Nothobranchius furzeri: one gene and its partners. The protein of the gene in region 2 binds, or shares a complex with, the protein of the main gene of each other region. Links are inferred from orthologs where the notes say so. Each region holds a gene or a part of one and is shown on either strand. Other genes may lie near its edges. The genes, in order: chtopa, thoc6 and thoc7.

What was found.
Region 1: thoc6 (region 2) and chtopa share a complex: the UniProt entries of both Homo sapiens proteins name them as parts of the transcription/export (TREX) complex. The link is inferred for Nothobranchius furzeri from reciprocal best matches to the Homo sapiens genes THOC6 and CHTOP.
Region 3: the proteins of thoc6 (region 2) and thoc7 are in contact, whole or in part, in a cryo-EM structure (PDB 7APK), measured with the Homo sapiens proteins. The link is inferred for Nothobranchius furzeri from reciprocal best matches to the Homo sapiens genes THOC6 and THOC7. Residues at the interface, in NP_001334633.1 of Homo sapiens: Asp229, Trp232, His245, Thr252, Gln268, Asp269, Gln284, Leu285, Ser286; in NP_079351.2 of Homo sapiens: Lys110, Arg113, Lys114, Gln117, Glu118, Ala121, Leu122, Val125.

Annotation. Positions count from the first base shown.
Region 1 is NC_091751.1:23,238,853-23,242,604, forward strand, and holds the end of chtopa (chromatin target of PRMT1a), read right to left. Parts: intron 1,700-3,752; coding exon 1,522-1,699; intron 1,451-1,521; coding exon 1,298-1,450; intron 1,212-1,297; coding exon 1,009-1,211; 3' UTR 574-1,008; downstream 1-573. UniProt on the Homo sapiens protein: Plays an important role in the ligand-dependent activation of estrogen receptor target genes. May play a role in the silencing of fetal globin genes.
Region 2 is NC_091745.1:30,130,887-30,134,638, forward strand, and holds the end of thoc6 (THO complex subunit 6 homolog), read right to left. Parts: intron 3,197-3,752; coding exon 3,093-3,196; intron 3,016-3,092; coding exon 2,978-3,015; intron 2,906-2,977; coding exon 2,857-2,905; intron 2,735-2,856; coding exon 2,663-2,734; intron 1,391-2,662; coding exon 1,288-1,390; intron 1,223-1,287; coding exon 1,173-1,222; intron 1,079-1,172; coding exon 1,016-1,078; intron 901-1,015; coding exon 790-900; intron 721-789; coding exon 595-720; intron 521-594; coding exon 440-520; 3' UTR 410-439; downstream 1-409. UniProt on the Homo sapiens protein: Component of the THO subcomplex of the TREX complex which is thought to couple mRNA transcription, processing and nuclear export, and which specifically associates with spliced mRNA and not with unspliced pre-mRNA.
Region 3 is NC_091743.1:56,272,606-56,275,831, forward strand, and holds thoc7 (THO complex subunit 7 homolog), read right to left. Parts: upstream 2,418-3,226; 5' UTR 2,331-2,417; coding exon 2,312-2,330; intron 2,105-2,311; coding exon 1,981-2,104; intron 1,877-1,980; coding exon 1,749-1,876; exon of another isoform or gene 1,450-1,748; coding exon 1,363-1,449; exon of another isoform or gene 1,245-1,362; coding exon 1,187-1,244; exon of another isoform or gene 1,109-1,186; coding exon 1,042-1,108; exon of another isoform or gene 950-1,041; coding exon 880-949; exon of another isoform or gene 808-879; coding exon 746-807; 3' UTR 642-745; downstream 1-641. UniProt on the Homo sapiens protein: Component of the THO subcomplex of the TREX complex which is thought to couple mRNA transcription, processing and nuclear export, and which specifically associates with spliced mRNA and not with unspliced pre-mRNA.

The DNA of each region.
Region 1 (3,752 bases), on a different chromosome or scaffold from region 2:
AGCATTAACAAGGCATTATCGCCCACAGGACTGCCGATTACTGGATGTTTTTCCCTTTTCACACCATTCTTTGTAAACCCTAGAAATGGTTGTGGGTGAAAATCCCAGTAACTGAGCAGATTGTGAAATACTCAGACCGACCCGTCTGGCACCAAAAACCATGCCACGCTCAGAATTGCTTAAACCACTTTTCTTTCCTATTCTGACCTTCAGTTAAGAGTTCAGGAGATTATCTTGACCAGGACCACACCCCTAAATGCACTGAAGCAACTGCCATGGGATTGGTTGATTAGATAATTGCATTAAGTTAAACAGGTGTTCCTAATAATCCTTTAGGTATGTGCGCACACACACATGGTTCACAGGATGTAGTATAGAGAAGTTTGTAGGTCTTAGGTTTGAACGTCCAACCTTCTAACTGGTGACGTTTTCCCAGTGAGACACAGCCATGGAAACCATGTCCCTGTGGGCACCAATCGCAGAACAAAAGCTAAGATCACACCAGGACATCTGCTTTTCTACATGCTCCAGAACACCTACAGGCCTTAAATGTTTGACATGAATCAGAAAATATCTCATTCATCATTTTATTTCCTTAACACAACTTGGGAAATAATTTTAAAACAAACATCTTGTCAGCTTCACGGAATACAAACAACCCAAAGCCTGAGCACTTCTTTCCCTGTCAAATATAAGAGAAAATGACTCGTCTTAAAATTCTTGTAAAATTATCATTTTAAAAAACGTTTCCACTGCAAGTTTAAGATGAGCCAAAGAAACTCTGGAGGTTTGAGGAAAAACTAAGAAAAACTAAACAGTTTACACCAAACACCTGTTTGACTAAAACTTCATACAGGAAGTCCGTGGACATCAGGGTCAAAGTCCCCTTGAGTTTATTCATCAGCTGATTGGCTCTTCAGCAGCAGGTGGATGCACGGCTAAACAACAGGGTGCAGCAACACCACTTGACGCTACGCCCCAGTCTTCAGCTCTGGTCTCGCTGGGCCGTCACTCCATGCTGTCGGGATCTGCCTGGGCCATGTAGGCATCCAGTTCTGCATCCAAGTGTCCCTTGGTCTTTGACATGTACGCATCCAACTGATTGTCCAGTTGTTCCCTTGTAACGGTGGGCCGGCCAAGTCCTCTGCCCCGCCCACGGCCGCGGCCCCCACGACCAGCAAATCCCCCACGTCCACGAAGTCCACCACGGCCTGAAGACAGAACATCATCAGTGAGACAGTGAAAAAAAAAAAGACACGAGTCATCAAACGATTGTACTAATAAATACAAACTCTACCCCGGCCTCTGGGCATTCCACCTCGACCTCCTCCTCGAGACAGAACTCCTCCTCTTCCTGCCACTCCTCCACGATGCCGACCTCCTCTACGCATGGGGAAGCGTCCGATGCCCCCCCGACCTCTCATAGGTCCACCTGTAGGCATTCGCCTGGCTGTTTAACACAATGTGATTGCTCAGCTGAGAGGAAACACCCCTACCATCTCCACGCTGACGGACACCTACCCCTCAGAGAAGACAGACCCCCACGAATGATCCCTCCTCTCAAACCCCCTCTGAGGCCTCCTCTGGTCATCCCCCGCATGCCTCCTCTTCCTCCAGGAGGTCCACCCCGCATCAGAGGCCCAATGGGCCGGCCCAGCCGGGCCTGGATGTTGCCTTTCCCCAGACGTTGCTTTAGGCTCTGGTGGTTCAGAAGGATCGGTCACAGCAACAAATCAGGAACACAAATAAAGCGAAGCAAGAGTAGGTCCAGCTTGTTATCCCAGCTTTCCATCAGACGCGCGAGCGTCACAAAATGTCCACAAAGCGTAGTACGTAGCACTTAGCTTCTATTATATTTACCTGTAAAACCTCTGTGACTGAGGTAAACAGTAAGTACACCACAGACCTGCTAGGATACCGTTACCATCTTTCTCCATGCTTGTTATCACGTGAACCGCTGAAATCATGCTTGATCTAGCGTTTTCCTGTGATTTTGTAACGTTGTGGGTCCAGCTGTGACACATTCACTGCCGCTTCATGTCAGAAAATCTCCCGGTGAGACGATATGCACCGCTGAGCTCGTGAGGAACCGCGTCACTTATGCATCCAGTGGAAAGCTCAGGTTAAGCCGGGTGTACACTGTGCGACTTTTTCACTTTTTTGAGCCGATTTTCCACTCGTGCGAGAATCCACGAGATCGGGGCGAGTTTTGCGCTGAGCGTCGTGTACAGGGGGCTACGAGAGGCGATTAACACCACGTGACCAGCTACCGATCAGCAATCGTGAGCTCGCACAGACTTCTGGCGTGTTTAATATTTTGCTCGTCCCTCGTGAGGGTATCGCACTGTTGAAGCGGCGCTGCGAGCAGCTGCGACCCAAAAAGTACCAGAACCGCTCACGGCACATGCATGCATCAACACCGCTCGCCCGCTATTTCCCTAATAACACACGTTGTTCGTTTTTATTTTCTACACTTTTTTTACTCACAAAGGTTGTCAAGAAAGCGTGTTTGTCGTGTTCATGTCAAATTAAACTGATCACAAAACACAGATTTACTTTCTTTATTTTGTTTTCCTCATCCAACCCCCATAAATCCCTGTGTGTCCCCCTGCAGCACTCCCGAAGGACAACAGGCAAAACAAGACAAAAAAGTCTGACGTGTTGTGTAAAAACTGCTATTTTTAGCACATTTTTAGGGCCGACGTGTTGCTACCAGACGTACAGCGTGAGCAGTCAGATCGCATCCGAGAACTGGGTCGTGCAGTGTGAGCGCACGACTCGTGAGATCTGCTCTGTGAGGAAGTCGTACAGTTTGAGCTGAAGCTGAGTGCTACGAGTGAAAAAGTCGCACAGTGTCCGCCCGGCTTAAGGGTACAACAAGACTATTTGGACATCTCACCCCTGATTGGCTAACAGCAACACAACTCTACCACTAACCTTGTTTGATTTGCATCATTGATGTTTTACCTCCATAAATGAATGAGTTCTACTGTATAGAGTAGCAGCTAATGCTAACAGTTAGCTTCTATTAGCCAAGGCAAGCTCTAGTCTCTCCTGAATGCTAAACCAACAACTGCCTTCCCCATCTTGAGCCAAGATGGCCGAGTCCATGAATGTTAACTTACTGTGAGGTAGATCTGACTGGCTTTGCTAACCTGAGAATTTCCTCGTCTGTTTTCTATCGGCTAATGCAGGAAAAAGGGGTAGAAGACTATTCACATATTCAGCCTGCATGTGAAACTCAGAGTGACCAATCATTTAAAAAAATAACACATAAAAATGGTTTCTCAGTGAACTTGTTCTTTAAACCTTTTATCAGCTATAAAGCAGCTCGTTTCGATTTGATCGTTGTCTCACTCCCATTTCTTTTTTGTTGCACATTGAAGCTCTACTTGGGACCTTGTTAATGACCAACCAAACAAACACGACGTTTGGCCATTTTCAAATGGTCTTAAACTTTTGATCAGGACTGTACTTCCCAAACAGCAAATGCATCTTCTGTCAGGCTTGGGTTTGGTTTCAATGATAATTCACTGATAAAACCAGAACAGAATCTTTCTGACTTGAGAACCCATCAGACCTTTGCTAACTTGTGCCCTTTTCCCTACTGAACACAGCTTTAAGCCTGATTTATGCTTCTCCGTCTGCGTCAGTGCGGAGACACGCAACGCCATTATCCGTCCTTGCGTAGGGATCCGGCAGGCACGCAAGTCCGTACGGAGTCGAGCCCACTTTTTTAAACATCCGTCGAA
Region 2 (3,752 bases):
GACAAAATTGTTTCCAAGAGATGGTTCAGAATTGACTGAATGTGTTACGAATATAGTTTTATGGAAAGAGGAGACGCTAGTTTGTATCTTTAAGGCTCTAATTAAAAACCTGTTATAAATCATTCACTCCAAAATGTAGATCAGCTTGAGAAAGATGTCCGAAAGTTTTTGACCTCAAAACAAAAAGTACCAGTTGAGAAAAGAAAAGCTCAAGTATCTTCACCAGCAGGAGTTGTGAGGGACAGCCCTGAGAGAAACGCAGTCCTCTAAAGAGCTGAAGCTACAGTTTCCTCCTGTGATGGAGAGATTTTTGTCTGCTGGATTGAGAGAAGAGGATTATACGTTTTTTATAGAACCACGTTGTTGAGCCAGATTAGATCCTGGTTCTGATCATTTAAATGACAAAAACTGTTTGTAAAAAACATTTTATTAGGAAAGTTCAGAAGCTGAGTGAGAAGGTTCTGTAGGACAGGTTGGTGAACACGTCAATGTGGCTGCTGCTACCTCCCACCGTCAGCACCTGAAACACAAACACCTTCACCAGGTGCTCCTCACACCGGTTAGGAACCTGCTGTGCTACGTTCAGGGACTCACCCGGTGCTCTGAGCTGTTGTTCAGCTGCAGAGTGTTGAGACTTGAGGGTGTGCATGGGATCTGAGCTTTGACATCTCCACCCAGAAGACAATGAGACACAAATGCACCCTGCCCCACTGCCAGGATCTACACAACAGACACAGACATATTGTTGTTTGTCCTCCACTCTGAGTGAAGTGGGCCATTGTGTCTCACCATGTCCTGGTGGAAAGCTGCCTGGCGCTGGCAGCCGCTCAGGGGAAACACGGATGTTGGGGACAGAGAGCGGAGGTGCCACAGAGACATTGACGGACCTCCTCCACACACCTGCAGGGACACAAAAACAACTCATGTGTGTAAAACTGTCCTCCCAGGTGAGACCTGCAGCTGTTAATGCGCGGTACCACACAGTCCTGATCAGCTGAAGCTGCTGTTTTCTTACCATCCAGTCAGAGTCTGTGGTCACACAGCTGATCCATTTACCGTACTGAGGCCGTACGCAGCTCTGAAACACACACACACACACACACACACACACACACACACTCAGCATATTCTCACAATGTGGTGATCCTTGCTGACTGGCATGTAGCTCTCACCTCGTACTTGTAGACTTCAATGCAGTGAACGCACTGGCCCGTCCTGGTGTCTGAACAACAACAACATCATCACCATCACCTGCTGAGGAAGGCCTACCCAGCTGCTGTAACTCACCCCACATCCTCACAGATCCATCCTCGCTGCCGGACAGAAGCTCGGACTCCCGCTCACGCACACACACACAGTGCACATAGTCTGTGTGACCCTGAAGGGCTGTCTGCACACATAGGCCAGACATGTTTGTGTGAGGTTAGTTTAGTGGCGATTTTCCTGAGGGTTTTAAATCCTTGGGTCCCTGCTGCACTCAAGTGATATCTTGTACGCAGGCAAAAAAAAGTCCAATGTCCAAACAATCTTAACTGATGAATATTTTTGGTGTTTATTCATCCAACTTGTCAAGTATGATGCACATCTTCATTTCCTGCCGCTTCTCCTGCTCTGGTAAAAAAAACTATAGGCCTACCCCAGTGCATGCTGGTCTAACACCAGTCCCCATATTTATTGTTCCTGGCTGATTCTCACAGGCAAAACTAAAATAAATAAATTAAATCATCATTAACCAACAACTAAACCCAATAAATAACCCAACAACTGTAAGTACAGTGATCCCTCGCTACTTTGCGGTTCGTTTATTGCGGATTCACGACTTCGCGGATTTTTTCTTTGGAGACTTATTCAAGGGAAATTCGCCGATTCGCGGTATTTTTCTATGCGAAATATCAAGAAATTCCTGTTTTTTTTCATCATAAAATGCACTTTTTGTAATAAAACTATAAAAAAAACAAGTAAAAAAAATTTTTTTTCTTGAGTTTTACCCACAAAAAGAGAATGTGATCATACGATAATTCAATATAGTACTGTATATCAGACTGGTCGGCTGGATTCGGGAGTTGAGCTTGTAGGGAGCGTGGTTTCACAGACACGGAAGAGATAGCGTCGGTGAAACGCCGGCTCACGATTAATCTAGGAAACCCCCGAGCGTTCGAGCATCAACGAAGTGACAAGGAAATGCCGGGCTTTCCAGAAGTAAGTAAGATAACTTACTATGAGCTGATAGTTCGTGGGATGGATCAGTAGGTTGGAAACTCTGATCATGAATATGAAGAAACGATGACTGAGTGGTGAGCTGGAAAGGCGACTTCCGATTATAGCCGCGGTTTGTGACGTAGATGCGACGTGGAGGGAATCCCCGCGAGGGGCATGCTGGGAGTTTTGGTCCATAGTGGAGGCCGGCTAGCTGGAAGAGGCTGGCCTGGGAACTTGGGTTCTGACACTGTACTGTAAATATGGTGTCCCTACTTCGCAGATTTTCACCTATCGTGGCCAGGTCTGGAACGCATCTACCGCGATAAACGAGGGATCACTGTAACCCAAATAGCGCCAACAGTTAGTTTAGGCAAAGTAAAATGATTTCTGTGACGTCGGGAGTTTCCTTTAGCATTGATGCTGTTTCATTAGTCAAAGACAATAAGCAGAGAAGCTGATGCACCTTAAAGTCTCCATGTTCCAGGTCCAGGATGTGGACGTTGTTGTCTCCAGCTCCAATCACCAGACTGTTGTCCTGAAACACACACAGGCCAGATGTTTCCATATCAGATCCTCTTCAGTCAGTTCTTAAACTCTGTTTTGTTGAGCAGGTGTGTGTGTGTGTGTGTGTGTGTGTGCGCGCGCGCACTCACTCACTTGGGTGTTGATGACCATGGAGTTAATCTCTGGGATCTCCAGACTTGATCTGCCAAAAGACCAGAAGAGGCATTAGTACGTGACCTTCAGGTTGGACGGGAGGCAGGAGAGATGTCCTCACCTATAGTTGGGCCTCTTCGTCCAAAGACATTTCACATTCTGAGGACATCAAGTTCACAACATTTCACAAGTGAAGCTGTGCTGCTGTACAGGTTATCTACCAGATGTAGCGTTACCTTCTTGATGAGTTCAGTCCAGCTCCAGGCACTGATCTCTCCATTTCCAGCACTCAGCAGGACACAGTCTGTGGACAGAAGACTGAAAACTGCACCTTCATGAGCTGCAGCAAAAGAGACAAAAACTCAAATCAGATGAAGATTAAAGGACCTCAAATCAAAAACACACCTAACACTAGTTTGGATTTGTTAGAAACTGTCTCATTTAATCTGAAACCACCTAAAAATTAAAGTAAAAAGTAGAAGGATGGCATTCATGCTTTTCACATTAAAACACGGCTGAACACACCAGAAGTCTAAGAATAAAATGTCTTAATAGGCTGAGGAGGCTTTTAATTTGAAGTTTTAGCATTTCACAATGTGGAATGTGTGCCTTTTTCTGTTGAAAAATTAAGTTTTAGTATTAAAATTAATAGTTTAACATCATAAAAAGTCTTGCTGAGAATGAGTGAGTGATTAAAAATTCATTTTATGGAAAAAAAAAAAACATTAAGCTGCAGTGCAACATTTAAAACTTAAAAATAAGTAAACTGTAAAGTCTGACAGGAGCTTTAAATGCTTATTGGACACAGGTAAACGAAACACCACAGCCTGTGGCGGTTTTACCATTAGGCATAGGTCGGCGGCCGCCTGGGGCCCCCTTATGATGGGGGGCCCCCT
Region 3 (3,226 bases), on a different chromosome or scaffold from region 2:
GAGGACTTTGACATTGGCAGTAAACGAGCAGCTTTGCAGAGTTGACTAAAGCACATCCTGCAGGCCCAAGCGTACCTGGTAGAGTTCTAGACCTTAAATCCCTTTTCTGTTGTAGCATGCATGATGTTGTTCTAGACTTTATGGTTCGGTTAAAACAATTTACAGGGGTTTGCAACAAAGTACATAGTGATCATTCACATAGGAAGTCAGAGGCTTTCTTTCATTGTGGTTTATTTACTACATCAGTAAATTTTGGCATTCATTTTTAAATAAATGAGCAAAACCATAATTCTTGTTACAGACGTCTTATTCTCAGAAGAATGTAATTTTGTGAACTTTAAATCAGAAACTATTTGATAGTTTGGTATGAAAAAATGATAATTTAGTATGAAAAAAATGATAATTGGGTTTAATGACACTTAGATTTTACAAGTATTCAAACTCTCACTTATAGTGCAGAAACTTCCAGAGAAAATACAGCACATATGAATGTTCAACAACTGTTCTGTCCTTGACTGACGCGTATTAAATTTCTTTTCTGATCAGAGTTTCAGTTGATTTTCTTAAAAGCCTGGAAGCTTTGGTTACATTTTTACTGAGATTATTTTAATGAAAAGAGAATATAAGAATTAAAGATATACTCCAAGATGACAGCTTTATTCAAAAATACATACAAAAAAGGATTCTTAGACAAACTAAATTTCAATTAAAAGCTGTGACTCCTTCAGTTGGGCTCTTTATGTGTTCAATCCCCATTCTCCATGGGACTCTCCTGACTGTGGTCGTCACTATCTGACTTTTCATCATCTAGGAAAGACAGGATAGACGATGAGGGCAGCTCTGACAACAGTTTGTCTGTATAACCAAGTGGCTACTTACTTTCTAGTGTCTGCTGCAGCTCCTGAATGGTAGTAAGAAGAACATGAAACTGCTTCTTCCTCAACTCCAACTAAAGAGAATGCAAACATGGCATAAAAAGTCAGTAAAAATACAACTAAATCTGATACTTTAACAACATTAGGCCGCTGTGTTTGAGTTTACCTTTGCATCTACGTTCTCTTTGATGTGAGACAGTTGCTGGAGTTCTTTATCGAGTGCCTCCAACTGCCTGGAAGGTAAAACAAAAATGAGCACTTTATTGAACATGAAGGGGAGCTTGACATGTTTTATCGATAGGCTGACTTACTGGAGTGTTTCATGTCTGTCTGGGTGTTGCTGGATTACCTTTGCTAAAGCATCATATTCTTTGGAGAGACAGAGAACAGATACTTAAAAAAAAGTTTACATCCTTTTGACAACGCACATTTGATACCACATCTGGTAATTTTTCTGTAAATACAACAGATGTTAAAATGTCCTTACCCTGGCGATTTTTTCGTATTCTCTTGGCACGCAGAATTTCTTTTTTGCATTCTGTGATCTTCTCATGTGCAGATGTGATGTTTTGTTCTGCGAGGTGCGAAAGAAAAAAGTTTGATTAGTGTTAATTGGGCGATGGTGGCACAGGAGTTAAGTGCTCGCCCCATAATCAGAAGGGTGCAGGTTCGAGCCCCGCTCAGTTGTAGCTACGATGTAGCTCATCACCACCAGTGTGTGAATGTGTGTGTAAATGTCTGATTGTGTTGTGTTGTAAAACGCCGTGGGGGGTTCCAGGACTAGAAAGCTCTATAAAATACAGGCCATTTGGCATGTATGACTAAAAGAATTAACAAAAAATTCTGTGACATTGAAAACAAAGCCGATCTTACCTATGTTTGCGTAGATCTTCTCATAATTCTCCATTTCACGAAGATTCATGTCATAAACCATCAACGTCTTTCCCATAGAAAACTCACACTGAGCCAGAGTAGCCACCATCCTCTGGTACTGAGTGAATCTACACACAAAGAGCCCAATGTTCAGCATTTCACTGCAGTTGTGTACTCGGCATTCAAGATGTTACAAGCAAAAACTGGAGACAGATATATTGCTAGCTCGTACCCTTCTTCTAGGGTCCCAGAAGGTGAGTTGCACCACTTGGTGAAGCTCTTCAGCAGCAGATTGATTCGGCGGTCATCTCCAGCTCCGTCACCGTCAATGAGAAGACGTTTTCGAATCACCTCATCTGTGGAACATGCAATAAAGCAGCTGAAGAGCGTTGAAAACATAATGCATCTATGCTAAGTGTGCTAGCTAACGTCGCTATTACAGGTAGCATTTCTGGGTATTTTTCCAGATAATAAGGCGCAATTTACAATGTTTTAAACTTAGACGAAAACAAAAGTAAAGAGTAACTTAAGTGCTGAAATTAGTTAATGATAAAGCCACAAACCATCAGTTACAGCTCCCATGTTGCTGTTTTTCTTCTTCTACTACTTCCGTTCTACTGGTACTGATTGATCTTTTGTCTTTAGGCAACTCAGACACAGCTGAGCTCGTTACTGCCTTATCTGGTAAGAGGACGTTACTGCATGTTGTGATCTTTTCGCTTCATCTTCGTTAAATAATGTGGATTTTAAGTATACAGTGATTACAGTGATTATGTGACACAGAGATTTAGTTTAAATGCAATTTAGTAATACCACTAGGTTTTTTTATCACACAATCAATTACAAATTACACAATCAAGTGATGAAATTGAATTACGGTAGAATACATTTTTCAAAGGCAAAATGAATGCTGTAATCACTTTTTGCTGTGTAAAAAAACGCCTCAATTATGTATGAGCAAAGCCCTGCTCATAAAAACAGCATATGTTGTGTTTGGTGCTGGTTTAGTGGTAGATCAGCATACAATGCTGGTCTAGCAAGATGGTTCAGCATCCAGTCACCAGCTTCCCATACTGGACAGGCATTGTACACATCTTTTAACACAAAACCCTAAACTTTTGCAGCTGTTCAAAAATAAGCACTTTCTTGACATCAAAACGTGTCTTTAAAATTCACAGACATATATGTGAAATATATGGCACATATCAAATAGGATTAGATTAGGATTAGAAAATAGCCTCTCCCTGGGCTGCCACCTTAGCGTGGTGGAGGGGTTTGAGTGCCTCAATGATCCTAGGAGCTAAGTTGTCTGAGGCTTTCTGCCTCTGGTAGGGTCACCCACGGCAAACAGGTCCTAGGTGAGGGATCAGACAAAGAGCAGCCCGAAGACCTCGTATGATGAATTATATAAATGGAAAACGTGTTGCCTCACCCGGACGTGGGTCACCGGGGTCCCCCTCTGGAGCCAGGCCTGGAGG